4 separate regions of the Mus musculus genome follow, and all the other regions are reported to be linked to region 1. Evidence: microRNA targets listed by miRTarBase, many of them from high-throughput screens and not tested one by one. Region 1 holds a microRNA gene; each other region holds the end of a gene's coding sequence.

Region 1 (4,312 bases):
ACAGCTTGCAAGGTCATTTGCATATTTAAAATATATTCGTTCAAGGTTAGCACGTGTACCAGCATGCCATTTTGAAGATGAGTTTAAGGTAAGCCCCACCTTTTCTAATTTCATTAATAATTAATTTTTACTGTAATTCCCCTGAGATACTCCTTGGGAGATTCCTCCTTGGGAGATTATGAAATGACTTAAGAATATGTCTACGCTTCTGTTGTGTCAGTGGAAGACTGAAATGTTTAGGAATTTTAAACTGAGAGTGATATTGATCTCGAGAATCCTAAAGGAAAATATAATCATATTAAGATCTGGCAAAATTCCAAATGGTCTCCTTTATGGATTCTAAAATGCTTTAAACATTGTCATGTAGAAAAAAATAAGTCCAGTTCCCCTTGAAAGAGATCTAAACCTAAAAACACAGGTATCACAATATTGTTAGAGGCACACAACGGAGACAAAGGAAAACTACTATTTCATTAGTGTGCAGTAAATGGCTAAGTTGAGTAATGATTTTTATTTCTAAAAAGAATGTGAAGTTGACAGTAATTTAGCAAACAATAAGAGAGAGAGAGAGAGAGAGAGAGAGAGAGAGAGAGAGAGAGAGAGAGAGAGAGAGAGAGAGAGAGAGAGAAACAAGCAGGGGTTAGTCTATGAACTTGGAACAGTGACTTGCTACTTCAAAATTAAAATGTACAAATAAGCTGGTGTCAGAGGAGAGGTGATCCCTCATTTCCAATACACTGAGCAAGCTCACATGGGCAGCAGACAGCTCTTAATGTATGCGTCTGGCTCAGGCTGCTCTCCCAATCCAGAAGCCATCAGATTGCTAATATCACTGCGTTTTGTATGCAAACCACATCATCTTCTCACTCTTTGTTGTTTATCTTTTTGTTTATTTTAAGCTTAGAATGATCTGGTTTTCCAAGTCACATTATGAATCCACAGAACTGCATTATCTGGTGACAGCTGAGAGAGAAATGCAGAGATAGTCACATCCATTCACACACAACATAAAGTAGCTTATGAAACAAAGTCTGATGTACACACACACACACACACACACACACAGACACACACACACACACACACACACCTTTATAGCATAAGACTTGTTTGTGAGTAGTATTCTCACACAACACATGCTTTGCACAGAGAATGTTCAAAATTGCAAGATACATGATGTATATCATATATGATATATGTGATGTTCAGGAGAAGTGAAATTTATTTTAGCATTTTTTTCTCCTATAAAATCTAAGTTAATATATACTACTGTTCATTATCATAGCATAAACAGAAAACCTTTACATTTAAATTTTTTGCTATCATAGCTGACTACTATTATTCCCTAGTTCATTGTGGATTTCAACTGATGAAGTAACACTTGCATATCGTTTATGATTATCATAAAACAGGTGTTAGTAAACACACTCCTCTCTGATCATCTGTGTAAAGCTTCTGTTAAATAGAATCAAGCTTGTGTGATGCTCACAGATACACATACATAGAGTTCTTTGTGATTAAAGAAAAGTTCTGACTTTATATTTACTCCTTTCACATGGAGTCGTAAAACATGCTTATATACACACTTAGATTTTAAAGCTTCTAGATAAATGACAGGGGTGAGGCCAGGAAAGAATCTAAAAAGATTCTTTGTGTTGATACGACATCAACACAAACTTCAACGTAGTCTGTGTTTATGATACTATTATATTATTTTTAGGAAACAATAAAGATGCTTTGCATTTTTTTGATATTTCAAGTAATGAGCAATAGTAACAACCTTAACAAAAACAGAACAAAGACTCCACATGATATCCTAAAATAGATTCATAGGTTTATTTACTAATGGAGAAAACAATTTACGGTGAAACATCAGAGTTAAAACACCAAAGTCACTCTTGCCTGTGTTATGAAAGCCACCTTGTTTTAAGCCTAAATTTCTGCAATGTTACTGTATATTTGGAATAGATTTATTGATTATAGATCAAAAAAAACACATGTTTAATGTATCATTGACTAATAAGTCACACAGGCTATGGATGGAATATTTACTTCTGGTAATGAAAATTCTGATCAAAGCCTGCATCTCAGACGTGTTTTACATGTGAACAAGAGCAGCTGAGTTCATAGGCATTCTCTAATGCTTTATAACACACACAAAGTGAAATGTAGAAATTCAAAAGCACTGTATTTTCCCTAAATATATACTTTGTGAATCTCAGAATAAGGCAGTTGTTCATACATATATACTGTTATGTGTGGGCAAAAGACTAAGGAAACACTGGCTAAAATTACCATGTATAAAACAATATTCTCTCATATTAGTATCAACAAGAATAAGATCAATAAAGAAAACTGTAAATCGTTTCTTTTTCAGGCCTCGAGTATGATTAGAATCTCATTTGACGTAGTCTAAGCCACAGTTCTATGGAAGCATGCATAATTTATTGAAATAACTAATGTATATAATTCTACGCATACAAAAACTTATGAATATAAACAACTCTTACAATGAATCTTCTTCATCTTAAAACACACCCAAAGCGATGTTTATTTTTTTAAAAAGAACTTGTGTTTTAATTCTACTTCTTGTACATATCTCTTACAACACTTTTATACGATAATCACAGTAAATACAAACGCTATTTCTATTCTACTGTGCCATATCTTTAGAGTACCGATTCTGAAGATTGTATTTTGGGGGTGTTGTCATGGTGAAACCCTTGCTGATTAGAAAGAAAACCATTGTTCTTTGCGCCTATGCAGAATCTATGCCTGTTCTTTTGTTCTGGTGGTTTATGCCGAGAATCAATAAGGTCCCAAGCTGCTGGTATCCCTCCGCCTAGGTCCCAAGAACCTGACTTGTGATGTTACTAAAATACCTCACAAGTTAGGGTCTCAGGGACTAGGCAAAGTCTCGTGTGATGCAGGAGAATTCTTCTTCCAGGTAAACGGACAGCTTGGGAATTAGAGTTGGGTTCATTTATTTTTAATCTTCTAAATACTAATTGAAACACACAGACAGAAACATAAGTAACACATGAAAGTCAAAGATGAGCTGAATAATCAGGACGGCCACCTATAGATCAGAACTTACAGTAATGTGGGGCATGAAAAACAAAGCAGACAATGGACATTTAAGAATCACCCCATTCTATCCAAAGAAGGAGACAAAAATGGGTTAAAATATGCTCCTTGCAGATTTTTACAGCAACACCCACTTCTATTACACTAAAAAAGGATTATATGCCAGTTAATGGGGCCCTAATTGATATTTTGCTTCTATTGAAGTTTTATATATCACAACTGTTACTGTGGGCCCAGGATATACAACACTTCAAACTCTCATTTAAATTATTACAGATAAGATTTAAACAAAAACTTTGAATATGTCATAATTTAATACCTATTAATGTTGATTTTTCTCTTTAAATATGCAAACTATTCAGACAGCAAATATTTTCATGCACACTTCATAGTTATTTGAACAAGACCACCTAACAAGCTTTAACTTAAAATCCTGGCAACATAGTAAGAAAACAAAAAAAGATCCTTTACTTTGAATAATTACATTATATAGTTCAATACTTTTGAAAATACACAGTCTCAATCCTGACTATTCATCAAATTCTCTCCCATCTTTTCGCCTTGTTGTGAAAGAGCAGAATCTGGACTTTAGGAATGATCCAAGGTTTAGTAGCACAGAATGCAGGGCAAAACAATCACACTTAGCACAGCATAAAACTCCTGGCCACAGAAGTGGAATCTGGTTCTTCAGAAGTGGTTGATCTTAAAAGGGAAAAGCAGGGGGGTTAGAAAAGGAGAGAGGGGGAGAGAGAGAGAGAGAGAGAGAGAGAGAGAGAGAGAGAGAGAGAGAGAGAGAGAGAGAGAGAGAGAAATGGAATGATTTAGAGTGTTTTCCTCTAGGCAGGTGAACCATCCATTTCCAGGAAGCTGCAAGGAAAGCTATGCTGAACAAAATATTTGCTAAGTGTTCCCCTCCCCCACCCTAGTACCACACCCCTTTCTAACCACCACCCCCCTTCACCCCTGCCCAGATCTTTACTTTGCCTTGTAAGACTTAAGCATTCTGTTCCGTGATGTAATGCATCATTATATAAGATCTCTTTCTGTTTATCATTTGATTTCCCATACTGAATCACTTATGGCCCCAAATAAATAGTTTTATAGAAGAAAAAAAAAAGATAAAACCAAAACCAAAAGAAACAACCAAAAAGCAGCATTCACAAAAAGCAAAGAGGAAAAAAAATAAAATTAAATAAAACAAAACAGTACTTAGATAAAAGTCCAT
Region 2 (4,156 bases), not on the chromosome of region 1:
ATGCCTCTCCCAGCTGCTCACCTGCTCCAGCTTCTCCAGACGCCCACGAAGCTCTGCAACCTCCCACCTCAGGGCTCGCTCCTCTTCGCTGTCTGCTTCCCGAACTAGGACAAAGGAAAAAGAGAGTGTGGCCTTCCCCCGCAGCACAGACCAGGCCCACCCCACAGGCAACCCACACTCACCTGCCACACTGAGGATGCTGGCACTTGTCGGGGACTCTGGAGGCCCCCCTGCACAGGTGCGTCCATCGAGACCCAGCACCAGGGGGTGTGGACAGCTGCACAAGAAGCTGCCCAGTGTGTTGAGGCAGCCATGAGAGCAGAGGGTAAGGCTGGCCCTGCATTCATCGACATCTAGTTACCAGAAAGAGAAGAGAGCTCAAGGGGGCAGGCAGGATGCAGGGTGAGTGGGGCAGTCCCCATCTCAGCACCCACCCCCATTGCCCATGTGTGTGTGTGTATGTGTGTGACAGGGGGAGGGGGACCATCCTGCTCACCCACGTGGCAATGCTTTCCTCCCCAGCCTGGGGCACACTCGCACCGGTCTGGTCCAGTGCAGACACCTCCATTAAGACAAGGCTTGGAGCAGATGGCTGGGGTCCATTTGAGAAGACAGTTAAGACCCAGACACAGGGCCAGCTCCCAGCAAGCCTCCCACAGCCTGAAGTCCCAGCCTCCTCACCATCACAGGTGAGAGCTCCTGGGTGTGGCTTCTTCCAGCCCTGACAGCACACCACGTGTGTCTGTGGTACCTCCCGCCTCACCTCCCGCCAGGCCACACGGTATGTGGTCCTAGAACACAGAAGCAGGCTCATATCTGTAGGTACCCATCCTGGACTTGCCTCTTGGGGTCCCTTTGAGACCTGGGAGCCTTAGGGGCTTCACCTCTCACCTGTAGGTGCTACATATGCGCCTCCCCGCACACAAGGTCAGGTAGGGTTTGTACACCGGTTGACTATAGGACTCGTTGTAACGGAGAGGAACCAGCAGCGTCTGCTTGGAGCACACTCCCAAACTGTAGGCACACCAGGGAGGAGGAGGGTGTCGGGCCCTCAGCACCTCACACAGCTGAGACCAGGCGCCCCCCTCCCACCCTGGCATCTCGCCTTCATTCTGAACTTTCAATTTTCTGTCCCATGGCAAACCCCATCCCAGCAAAGCCCTCCCCATTGGCTGTCACCTCTCTTTGAAAGATCCTCCTCTGGTCCCTTCGCCCGTCATCAGCACCAGGAAGAATGAGAGTCCTCGTAGGGAAATGCACAGCTCAGCCCAGAGCCCCATGGCTCCCTCACTCTGAGGGCTGCAGACAAGTGGTTATTGGAGCTCTTCCCTTCTCCTTGGGTCTCTAGGTGAGGCCCTCCTAAAGCAATCTGACTTGGTGGTCAGGACACTGACTTTCCCAAGCCACTCCCATGGTCTGCAGTGGCCTGCACACCTAACCAACGTGCCCTGCCAGTACCAAGTCATGGTCCCTCCGTCCTCAGCCAGGCTCACCACTCTAAATGCTCCTGGCCAGCCTTCCTGCACATCCCTTGCACACTGCCTTAGAATATGTCACCTTCACAAGTGTACACACCTTATACCCCGACCCAAGCATCCACCGCTCCCCCACACTCTCATCATACCGACACCCCTCACTCAGAAGCCCTCCCCCTCCCTCGTCCCCACTGGAAGGTGAAGTGATGTGGGTTCTTCCCACCACTGACTTCCTCTCCCTACCTACCCACTTCTCCTCTTCCTACCTGTTTCCCTGTCCAGGAGGCTGCAGCAGCAACAGCCCCAGCAGCCGCAGCTTACACTGGTGGGTGGGCCTCTCTGGCTGAGAAGATGCAGAGGGGCTGGACCACACAGCAGTCTCCCTCCCACTAGCTCCTCAGACCCAGGCTGGTTGGCTCAGTAGACAGGCCCTGCCTTCCTCACCTTCTTCTCTTCAGCCAAGTGTTGCTCCAGCAGGACCTACACAATTTCGGAGGTCCCTGAATTATGGACCCCAAATCAGAAGTTCCCGGCTCTAATAGCAACCAGTACCCCACCCCCTTTCAGCCTAAGAGACTGTGGGATAATGTGAGGGCAGGGAGAGAGGGCGGGAGACAAAGCAAGAGCAGGTCATGGCCAAGTAGGCCAGATCGGCTGAGGAAAGAAAGCGGCCGTCACAGAAGGGCAGGGGCAGCCCAAGGCACCAAGGGAAAAACTGTCTCCATCTCTTGATGGCATTTGTTGGGGGCTGAGGGGCACCACCCCCAAGCCAGAACAGACAGGGCCCTATTGTCTCAGTCTAAATTCCTCCTCCCAGGCAAAGGGAGATTCACTGTACAGCCCCTCACCCGGTCCTGGCCTCCAAAGGTCAAGGGGGATGACACATGCCCACTCTGACCCTCAGCCCCCTTGTCTAGTCTGGGGGTGGCATGTCAATTCCACCCATGAGGCCGAGGCCCAAACTGGCAGAGCCTGGGGCTTAGCCCCCTAACCCTAGGCTGGGACAGGAAGAGAATTGTCTTCAGCAGGAAAGAACCCGCAGAGTCAGGAACCCACACAGAATGGGCATTGAGAGGAAGGAAACACCAAGGGGGTCCCCACCCCAGACCAAGCATCCGGGCATCCAGGCCCCAGGCTCTCTATTCCCACCCTCCTGGGGGAGCCCAGTTCCCCTTCACCTGGGAATAAGCCAAGCCACGCTGAGGAAATGGATCTTTTATTTCTATAAATACAGGGACCACCCACTCAAGGGTAGTTAAAAGAGGGGCTGGGGCCTCAAAGAACCTAGGCTCCCAGGGGATACCCCAACACTGATCATAGGGACTGGGGGATCCCCAAACCTGAGATGGGCCTTGCAGGCCACAGATATTCCCCAACACTGACACTTCAAAAGTGGAATTGTCCCCATAGGGGAGCCTCAGAACACCCCCTCTTATGGGTGCCCCTCTTGGTGGGGAGGCTAGCCACAGGGAAGTTGAGAAAAGAGGGAAACGGGGATAACAGAAGCTAAAAATGTCCTGAGTGGCCTGGAAGAAGACCCCTGAGGTGGGCAGGGGCTGGGTTCTCCTCCGATACAGCCAGACCCGGAGAAGCAACAGCAGCGGTGAAGCCACAGTTAAAAACCTGGCACTTGCTTCCCAACCTCAGCCGTGGCAGAAAGGGAGAGCGTGGAGGCGTCCCCAAGTGAGGACATGAGGTAGGGGACCAGGACTTGTCATTCACAGAGGAGCAGGGGGGGAGGGGGGAGGGGAGCCCTGGTGGGGGTCGGGCAGTGTGGGAATGACAAGATGGTTGCAGGCATGCCAGAGCCTGGCATCTGCTTCCCAAGGCCACCGCTTGATCTCTGGGCTGGGGAATTCCTGGAGACCACTGAGGACATCTTCAGGAGAGCCACGGCTCAATGCAAGTATCGTAGAGCGTACGGTTAGAGTGCCACGTGGTGTGAGAGATGCCAGCCATGGGACACCTCACTATGGCCCCCCGGGCCAGGAGAGTCTTCAACCCAAAAGAATCTCGAAGATACACCTTCGAGGTGGGCCGAGGGCCATGGAAACATGGAAGAAAGAGAGACAGGAGTGAGACGCTGCTCATGTCCAGACCAACCTCTCCCTCCCTCATGAAGCAGGAGTCAGAGGCAGAAGGAGCCCCAGAGTGAAGTGGAGACAAAGGGAGGGGGAAGGCAAGTCTTTGGAGGGGCTTACCGGCTGCTCCTCCATCTCCAGAACTGTCTCATTGGCATCATAGAAACCAAAGAAGCTGCAAAGACATGTATGTGCATAGAGGTTATCAGGAGAACCAAGGAAAATTCATGTGCATTAGTGCCCCCACAGAGACTCATGGCCCCGGGAGACAGGCAGCCTAGAGCACACTCAAAGGCTAAGAAGTTAGGGGGCATCTGCGGTAGTACACGCCTTTAATCCCAGCACTTGGGAAGCAGAGGTCGAGGGCAGCCTGGTATAAAAAGTGAGTCCTGCGGCCAGGGTTCTGTTACACAAAGAAACCCTGCCTCGAAAAACCAAAATAAATAAATAAATAAATAAATAAATAAATAAAAAAGATAGAATTTAAGATCTAGAGAACTGGTTCAGAACAGCATAGCCAGCCTGTTACACAAAGAAACCCTGCCTCGAAAAACCAAAATAAATAAATAAATAAATAAATAAATAAATAAATAAATAATA
Region 3 (4,156 bases), not on the chromosome of region 1:
CCCCTGTGGCAACTCCAGGTATGAGGGCTCTGTCTTCTGCAGGAAGGAGGGGTGGGTGGACACTTTGGAATGAATGTATGGGGTTGTAGAACTAGGGGAAGGAAGGAAAGGCCCCAGAGGACCTGAAGGAGATGCCAAGGCTTGGGAAGCCTGGAGGGACGGGTCCCAGAACCCAAGAACAGGGATTCTGGGAGGGAAGGGTGGAAAGAACAGAACAAAGCCCTAAGCTGTGCTCTTTGTCCCCCTGACAGTGCCACCAGAAGAACAAGCCAACATGTGGCTGGTTGAGGCAGAGATCTCCCCAGAGTTAGAGAAGCGTTTGGGCCGGAAGAAAAAGCGGAGGAAGAGGAAGAAGGAGGTGTGCCCCTTGAGGCCAGCCCCTGAGCTTCACCACTCTGCCCCTGTTCCTGCCACCAGTGCAGTTCCTCGGCTGCCTCAGCTGCCTCGGCAGAAGTGCCTGGTAGCTGCAAACGCCTGGGGAACAGGGGAGTCCTGCCGACAGGGAGCCTGGACTCTAGTCTCCAACCCCTTCTGCCCAGAGCCTAGTCCCCATCAAGATCCATTTCTCCCTGGTGCCTCAGCCCCCCGGGTCTGGGCTCAGGGCCGCCTCCAGGGGCTGGGATCCATTCATTCCCGCACTAACCTAATGGAGGCTGAGATCTTGGATGCAGACTCGGACTTCTGAGCCTGCAGGGCAGGTCCTAGGATGGGAAAGACAAATGTACACCTTTCTATGGCTCTTCCTGAGAGCACACCTCTGGGTCTCATCTGACAGAGTCTGTGGGCCAAGTGTCTGCCTAGAAGAGCTGTGTATGTCTGGCTAGAAGCAGCCAGGCCATGGAAACAAGTTGAATACAGCGATTGGTAGGCCTCATGTCAGAATCAGGACCCTGCACTTCAGGACCCTTGCTTCTGCCCACCAATCAGAGTCTGACTGGCAGTGTTAGTCTCCGACAGAGCTTGTACTAGGGCAGGAATGGCAGAGACAGGGATGATGGTACCCAGAGTGGGCTGTGGTGGTCTGTGAGGTAACCAAGCCCATGTCTGGCAGATGAGGGCTGTTTGCCCTTTTCTGTGCCAATGAGTGCCCTTTTCTGGCACTCTCAGACCAAAAGTGTTTATTGTGTCATTTGTCCTTTGTCTAGGAGAGGACAGGACTCTCTTTTTCCTCTTCCTGGTAGTTGTAATGACCACTCCCATAAGGGCTATAACTGTTCTTCACAGGTGGCCCTGCTCAAAATACATCCTCTCTTTTCCCGTTCTATCCCTACATTCACATCTCAGTTCCACTAGGCCAACCTCTTCCTGGTTAGCACCTTAAAACTGCAGTGAGCACACACAGACACACACACACATACACTCTCACACACACAGACAGGCATGCACACACACACACACACACACACACACACACACACCCCTTACTTCTGAGCTCTGTCTTAAGAGACTACTGGTTCAGCTCCAGGCCTCTGAAAGACATGTTATTTCTTCCTCACATCCATCCAGTGGGGAGGACCCTCTGACTTAAGGGACCACCTTGGGAAGCTTCTGTAGCTTCAGCCAGGCAAGAAAGCTTCTTCCAACTTCTGTTTCTGGTGGGAGCGGGGGGACTCCCACTTTTTACAATGTCTAGTCATTTTCATAGTGCCCCACATTCAAGAACCAGACAACAGGATGCCTTAGAAGCTGGCTGGGTTTTGGGTCAGGGGCTCAGTATGAGAAGAAGAAATATGAACAGCAAATAAAACATTTTTGTATAAGCTCATGCGTGTTTCTTTTCCCCAGCCCCAGCTCTGGCTTATGTACCTGGTCCAGAACTTCCATGAACTCCTGAGGTCTTTTTCACCAGTGGAAAGCTTGCTGGTGTGGTCATGACTGACAGATACAGGGCTGATTCAGCGTAATATGCTGGCTGCTCTCTCTGGCTACTTGGCAGTAAATGAACAAAAGGTGCTTGTTGGCCACCTTTGTATCCTTAAGTTCCAAGCATAAAGAGAATGAAGGACAGACATGCAGGATGCCCTTGGAGTGGCCATGGGAAGCGAGTGTTTTCCTGGTGGTATACAGACGGGCACAGCTACTGCCAGTCCCAGGTTTCACCATTGCAGGGTGGCATGCTCTGCCTCCTTCCAGAGATGTTAGGTCGGGTACATTCTGATCCACAGCTTCCTTTCTGGGCAGTCAAAGGAATTCAAACACAAGGAGAGCTTGTTGGTTTTGCTTCTTTAAAATACCAGCAGAAGATTGGGAACTGAATTCAAGTGACTAGATTATGTAGCAAGGTCTGTGGAGAAAAGGCAGTGAGAGCCACAGACCTGAGGGTACTGTGGAGTGCTGATCTGGCTTAGGACGAATAGTCCCTTCTTCAGCTGTGTGTGTGATGGGGACAACAGGGTTTTAATCAAGCCAGATTTTCCAGAAAGAGGAGAAATGGAATTCTGGTTTTATCCCAGGTGACTTGTAGATATGATATACCACTGAAAGCTAACACCCAGGGCTGGCTTTGCGGGGCACTCTTCTGAGCTCTCCACAGAATTCAGCTCAGGCAATCTCAGAGCCCTGCCAGGTTCTGTTCTACCCCTCAAGACACTGAGGCATAGAAGGCCTAATGGGCTGCTCCAAACTATTCAGCTACTGGTAATGCTGGCATCCAGGCATGGCCTTCTGGTTTCATGGTGACAGGGATCTAACCATGGTGCTCTTTGCATGGAATCAAGTTCAGCAAAGTAAAGCAAAGTGACTTGCACACAACCCCATAGCCAGAAAGCTGCACACACTGGCCTAGTATTTCTGATTGCGAAGTCCTGGCTCTGCAGCTTGGTGGAAATTCATTCTTAGATTTCTCCATTTTGTGTTTCCTCAGGCTACCCCCTCCTCGGCACTTGTCAGTGTTGGTTACTATTTTCTGAAATTAAAAAAAAAATGCTACGGTTTTCCTCATTTCATTTCCATGAACATTTAACTGTTTCTTTTCCACGTTCTGTTTCTTCTTCCTTAGAAGGATTGCTTACGTAAAGGATAAACTACTGAGGTCAGTCTGGGCCTTCAAACAGCTGAGGAACCTGTATGGTTGCAGTGACAGATTGTGGGCACTAGAGGACAGTCCTAACTCTGTTTTCTGTGCATCTGCATGCAGGCTCAAACTGCAGCTGGATGTCCAGTGTTGCGACACCCAGGCAAACAGGCAACCTTACAGGATTTCTGTAGGAGTGGCAGAAGTCACTCTGAACAATGATCATCATTTCTTCTAAAAGTTTTGAATCCAATTCCTAAGGAAACACTTCCAAGTTCAAGAGATGCCAATTTTGGCTTCCTGCTGTCCTGAGAACTACTTCCCCACCAGCCCTGCCTTCTGCCTTACCTGGGTTCTTGGGTTTTCCTACCACACTCTCAACCTTAGACTTCCTGTTCCTACTTCTATTGGTTCCAGCTTCTTTTTTATTTTATGTTGACTTCAAGGATGTCTGTGTGAGGGTGTTGAATCCCCTGGATCAGGAGTTACTGTTGTGGGCTGCTATGTAAGTGCTAGGAATTGAACTCAGATCTTCTGGAAGAGCAGCCAGCCCTCTGAACAGCTTTTCCAGCCCCTGGCCCTAGCTTCCTTACAGCAGGCTGCACTGCCCTAACCATTCCCCTGCCCACTTGAGCTTTGAGTGTAAAAAATTGAAAAGACATGGAAAATCATAAAGAACAATAGACAAACAACCAGGGCTGGAGAGATAGCTCACTGATAAAACACTTGCCTTGCAAGTGTGAAAACCATGTAAAGATGCCGGGCAAGACCAACCAGATGGCTCAGAAGATAAAGGCTTCACTACCTGAGTTTGATCCCCAGAGTCCTCAAGGTGGTATATGTGTACCCATGTGCACACATATAAACATTTTTATTATGTTTATTTGCATGTGTGTATGCCCATGTGTCATGTGGTTTTCATAGGACAGCTGCCAGGAGTCAGTTCTCTGATTTTTAAAAAGAACAGTCTGTATTTCTTGGATTTCTTTCTACTGTTTGTTTTGAAACAAGGGCTCAGGTCTTGTTTTTTGGTTTTTTTTCAAGACATGGTTATTCTATGTAGCCCTAGCTGTCCTAGAACTTGCTTTGTACCAGGCTGGCCTCAAACTCAGAGATCCTGAGTGCTGAGATTAAGGCATGAAT
Region 4 (4,156 bases), not on the chromosome of region 1:
GAAGCCAGCACAAAGCTGTGCTCTTTCATTTTCTGACCTTTTGTGCCATTTGCAGAGTAGGCAAGGGGATGTGGGGGACACACGGAGTTAATGCCCTCCTGTGGTGGTGGTCAGCAGAGATGAAGTCAGGATTCTCTGCTTTGCCCAGGTTGCTAAAGCCTTAGAGTCTAAAAGATCCAGTATGAGCTACTGGCCACTAAGGAGAAGTAGGTTACTGGCATCTGTTGCAGTCAGGAGGGTGCCCACCCGTATCCCTCCAGAGGGCAGAGGCTCAGTACAGACAGGCAACAGGACTGGGAATTTCTGTTCAACAGATCTCTAAGTCCCCAAACAGAGGAGAGAGAGCACCAAGAGGTAAGGGTGGATGGTCTCTTTTGTGTTTACCCAGGCTTGCACTTACACACACACACAGCCTATACAAGCAAATGACTGCTTTCAAGCAGCAGTTAGCTGGGGGTTTATCACGAATGATTTGCACACTTGACCCTATATCCACAGCCCTTACCATCACTTGGTTGAGAAATTTAAGGCAACTGGCAGAGGGGCTAGTCTGGGAAAAGAAAAAGGGATGGCACCCCTCCCCCTCCCCACACCACCACACACATCCAGGTGCAAAACGCAGTTGAGAAGGGACAATGGGCAAGTGGGACACAATGCCCCCACCCCGTGGCAGCCTCTACGTACCACGTGGTGTACCGTGCTTACTGGAGGTCCCAGGGAGCAGGGCCAGGAGCAGGAGCGCAGTGCCCACCATGGCGGCCTGTCCAGGTTCGAGTGCTCCAGACCGGCAGCGAGCACCTGGCTGGGCTGTACCCAGCCCTCTAGGTGTGGGTAGGTAGCCCTGGCCTTGGTGAGGCTGCCACCCTGGGAAGCAGGGAGCGGGGGCGGAGGATGGAGGGGCTGACATCTGAGCACATGCTCAAGGCCAGCCATGGATAAGGGCTTTCTTGATGTACTGAAATTTCTACAAGGGGGGCCCCTCACAAAGCTGCCTGATGCCTTCGGTCACTCCAAACACCTCCCACCCAGCTCCCGGCCCGGCTAGTTTCCCATGAATGTCATCCCTAACCACACTAAAAGCCCTCCTCCCAGGCCCTTCCCATATCTCTGTACACTCTACCAGGCTTAGGACACCAGACTCGGAAGAAAAGGGAAGGGTTTTATTCTCAAGCGTCTAAGGATTTACAAACAAGGGTATTTTGTTTTAAAAAGGGAAGAGGGCAACACTGGTGGCCTGAGGAGGAGGTCAGAGGGTGGGACCAGGCCACTCCAGGTCCCTACCTGCCCGAGACCCACTCTGCCTGGGCCTGAGGGATGGCTGGTGACAGAGGGAAGGACTTGGGAGAAGGTGGGGAAGTGGGAGACTCCTCCAGACTCCCACTTAACATTAGAGGGCAGTAGACAAAGACAACACAGACAGACAGACAGACAGACAACACACAGAAAATAAAGTTAAATAAAAATAAAACCATCAGGCCCAGTCTTGGGCCTGTGCTGGCCCTGGGACCAGCCATGTGACCTAAGTACACACAAAGGCTAGCCATGCTGCGGCCAGCCTCAGAATGGTAAGGGTGGGGCCGGGCTTGCTACTCTCTCCCTACTTCATTCCGCCTCCCCAACACAGGAGATAAGGAGAGAGGGTGCCCTACCCTACCCGGGCATAGAAGATGACTTCTATTACGATTTAAGCATGCGGCATTGTGAGAATAGGATGAAGAGGCGTCAACAGGACAGTTAAGAGCCACAGTGTCACCTAAGCCTACGTATGGTTGCATCAGCTACTTCCAGCAAGGTTTCTCAACTTTGGTGCTGGGATTTGTGGTTGTAAATTTTTTTGTTTTGTTATATTGTTCTCTTGTCCACTTGAACTGCATGCATCACCAACAAAAAGGAAACATACCCCACTCTGTCCTCGAAACTGCAGGACAATGGGACAGGCACCTGGCCCAGTCCAGGCCACAGGTTGGGTTGGAGCTGGTCAGCTCTAGGTGAGCTAAAGCATGCTCAGGGGCATGTTGGGAGTAAGTCGCGTCGCATCCCAATACTCTGGCCTCCCCTGCATTCACGCCTGTCCGTCTCGTCCCTGATTCACATGCTCGGACCTCCACATCTACTCCCTTCACTCCTAATCCCTGACTTCTCGGGACCCCTCCTGCCCCTTGGCAGGATTCCCTCCTGTCACTGTTCCCAACAGTCCCTCCCTGCTACCTGCTACTCTCTACTGCATCCCTCATACACCTTCCCTGAAGGCCATCGTGTGGCTGAGGCCCCTGGTCTCCCTCTGTGCCACCTGAGCTCTTCTACTCAACCCCAAACTGTCAGCAGCTCCCAGTCCCATGTGAGGGTCCCCCATGGAGCCTGGCCTCTCCTAGGCCAGAAATGACAAGGAGCAGCAAGCAGTCCAACCCCCAATGCCTGAGGCAATGGAGGAGAGGGGGCCACCACAAGCAGCTAAACATTACTTTGGTAAAATTTTCTGAAGGTACCGACCCCATGAGGACACCCCCCCCCCAACACACCCCCACCAAGTACAATAAAATACAATAAACTCCAAAAGGACCCCCTGAGATCAAAGAGAGACAGACAGACACAGAGACAGCAACCATTTGGCTGCAGTCACAATGCCCACAAAGCCATCCTAGGACAAAGACTTAAGGAAGCCTAGATGAACCTGGGGCTTCCTTCCACTGAGGGTAGAGTGGCGGCACCCAGGCTTCAGAGGCTGGGAGGGAGACAGGGGAACCAGAAAGGGACAGTGGTAGAGAGGGAGGGGACAGAAGGAAAGACGTAGAGCAAGCATGTGTGCGAGAGAAGGTGGAGGGGACAGACACTGGGAGTTTGGGGGGATGGGGACAAGGGGCTTTCTCTCTGCCCCTGGGGGTTACCCCAGCCCAGAGGTTATGATTGAATAAATAGCGAGTCTGCTCATGGCCTGCTGTCTTCCGTTCACAGTGTCTGTCGGGGTGGGATGGGGCTCACACTGCTGGCTGACCCCAGAGTGGGAGGGATTAGGAACCAGCATGCCCTTTTGTCCACAGCTGGTAGGCAGGGAGTCAGAGCTGGATGGGAACCCCCTACTTTCTGTCCTCAGTCCTTGGCAGTCGTCCAGGTCCCAGGTCCCCTGATGGGCAGCTGGGTTGGCCAGGTTGGGGGGGGGGTCGGTGGCCGTGGCCCGGGGCCCCTGCGGGGCTGGCCGCTGCCATGAGGCTACCTGAAGAAGGGCAGATGGTGCTGACTCAGGACTCCACTAGTCCTTGGGGACTCGGTCTTCGCCATGACATCCTTAAACCAGGACGCGACATCCACCTCGAGTATCTCATAGTGCTTGATGAAGCTGTGTTCCTGTAGGCCCAAGAGTTTGCTTATTATGAGGAGTCAGTCCTCCTGGTCTTGCAACTGAGACCCGGAGGACTTCACACGTGGTGGGGGTTGGGGGAGAGGTACTCACAAGTAGCTTATTATACTTTGGTCTCTTCCTGTGATCTTTAGTAAGGCTGGACAAAGAGCAGGGAGAAAAGAGAAATGAGAGTCAGAAAAATGAAGCCCGACTGTGCCTGGATGCCCATCTATGCTCAGGCCCTCCCTCTCCAGTAAGCCAGAAGCAGCTGCTCACAGCCAGGCTCCACCAGGCTGGGGATCCACAAACTCTCCTGGCCCAATATAGTATTAGGTAAAGACCCAGCTGGGGAGCTGGAACCACGCGCAATGTGAGGGTCACATCAGAGAAAGTTAAGACTCAAGTGTGATATTCCTACACAACCTCCATTGCAAAGCCACAGGGTCGCCATGCCAGACACCCACAGGGCCAGCGGTTCCCCACAGGTCCAAACAAACCCAAAAAGTGACTCCCAGGGCTCCAGCTTTAACTCCTGTCTACAGCCACAAGCCATGGGTGTACCTGTAGCTGTGCCCATCTCATCCCGTCCCCTTTTCCCAGCCTCCACCCTCCCCAGTAGCATGAGGACACCAGACATTCCAGAACATCCCGGAGTAGAGAGGTAGGAGCCAGGACAGGCAGCATGGGAGTGCTCACCAGTCTTTGACAAATGACTGGAAGTCCCCTGAGAAGCCCATGTGACCAGGCAGGAGTGGGGGCTCTTCCTGTAGGACTTTGGTGAGGACCTCAAAGTCCGTCTTGCAGTTCTTATAGGGGAAC

What was found. Region 1 holds the annotated microRNA mmu-miR-125b-5p (UCCCUGAGACCCUAACUUGUGA, at 2,884-2,905, opposite strand). A microRNA usually pairs through its seed, bases 2 to 8, with sites in the 3' UTR of a target mRNA and lowers its output. Matches are read on the target gene's strand: a 7mer-m8 pairs with bases 2 to 8, a 7mer-A1 pairs with bases 2 to 7 and ends in A, and an 8mer does both.
Region 2: the mRNA of Ppt2 is a reported target of mmu-miR-125b-5p. Seed matches in the 3' UTR shown: 7mer-m8 at 3,014-3,020.
Region 3: miRTarBase lists Smo as a target of mmu-miR-125b-5p. The part of its 3' UTR that is shown has no 7-base or 8-base seed match.
Region 4: miRTarBase lists Map2k7 as a target of mmu-miR-125b-5p. Seed matches in the 3' UTR shown: 7mer-m8 at 2,562-2,568, 7mer-A1 at 2,241-2,247, 7mer-A1 at 2,130-2,136 and 7mer-A1 at 2,081-2,087.

Annotation. Positions count from the first base shown.
Region 1 is chr16:77,644,872-77,649,183 of GRCm38, reverse strand. It overlaps Mir125b-2 (microRNA 125b-2), which reads right to left and starts at 2,911; the gene lies at 2,841-2,911.
Region 2 is chr17:34,613,988-34,618,143 of GRCm38, forward strand. It overlaps Ppt2 (palmitoyl-protein thioesterase 2), which reads right to left. Exons shown (of 9, transcript NM_001302396.1): 8 at 3,677-3,731; 9 at 2,675-3,500. The coding sequence ends at 3,357. It overlaps Egfl8 (EGF-like domain 8), which reads right to left and starts at 1,984. Exons shown (of 9, transcript NM_152922.3): 1 at 1,920-1,984; 2 at 1,180-1,299; 3 at 892-1,014; 4 at 682-791; 5 at 497-592; 6 at 183-353; 7 at 22-104. The coding sequence starts at 1,280.
Region 3 is chr6:29,759,601-29,763,756 of GRCm38, forward strand. It overlaps Smo (smoothened, frizzled class receptor), which reads left to right. Exons shown (of 12, transcript NM_176996.4): 11 at 1-18; 12 at 252-1,766. The coding sequence ends at 685. Among named protein-coding and RNA genes, the nearest start is that of Ahcyl2, 6.8 kb to the right of the region's middle.
Region 4 is chr8:4,244,881-4,249,036 of GRCm38, reverse strand. It overlaps Map2k7 (mitogen-activated protein kinase kinase 7), which reads right to left. Exons shown (of 12, transcript NM_001164172.1): 10 at 4,034-4,156; 11 at 3,449-3,494; 12 at 1,140-3,342. The coding sequence ends at 3,208. It overlaps Tgfbr3l (transforming growth factor, beta receptor III-like), which reads right to left and starts at 823. Exons shown (of 7, transcript NM_001195258.1): 1 at 685-823. The coding sequence starts at 754.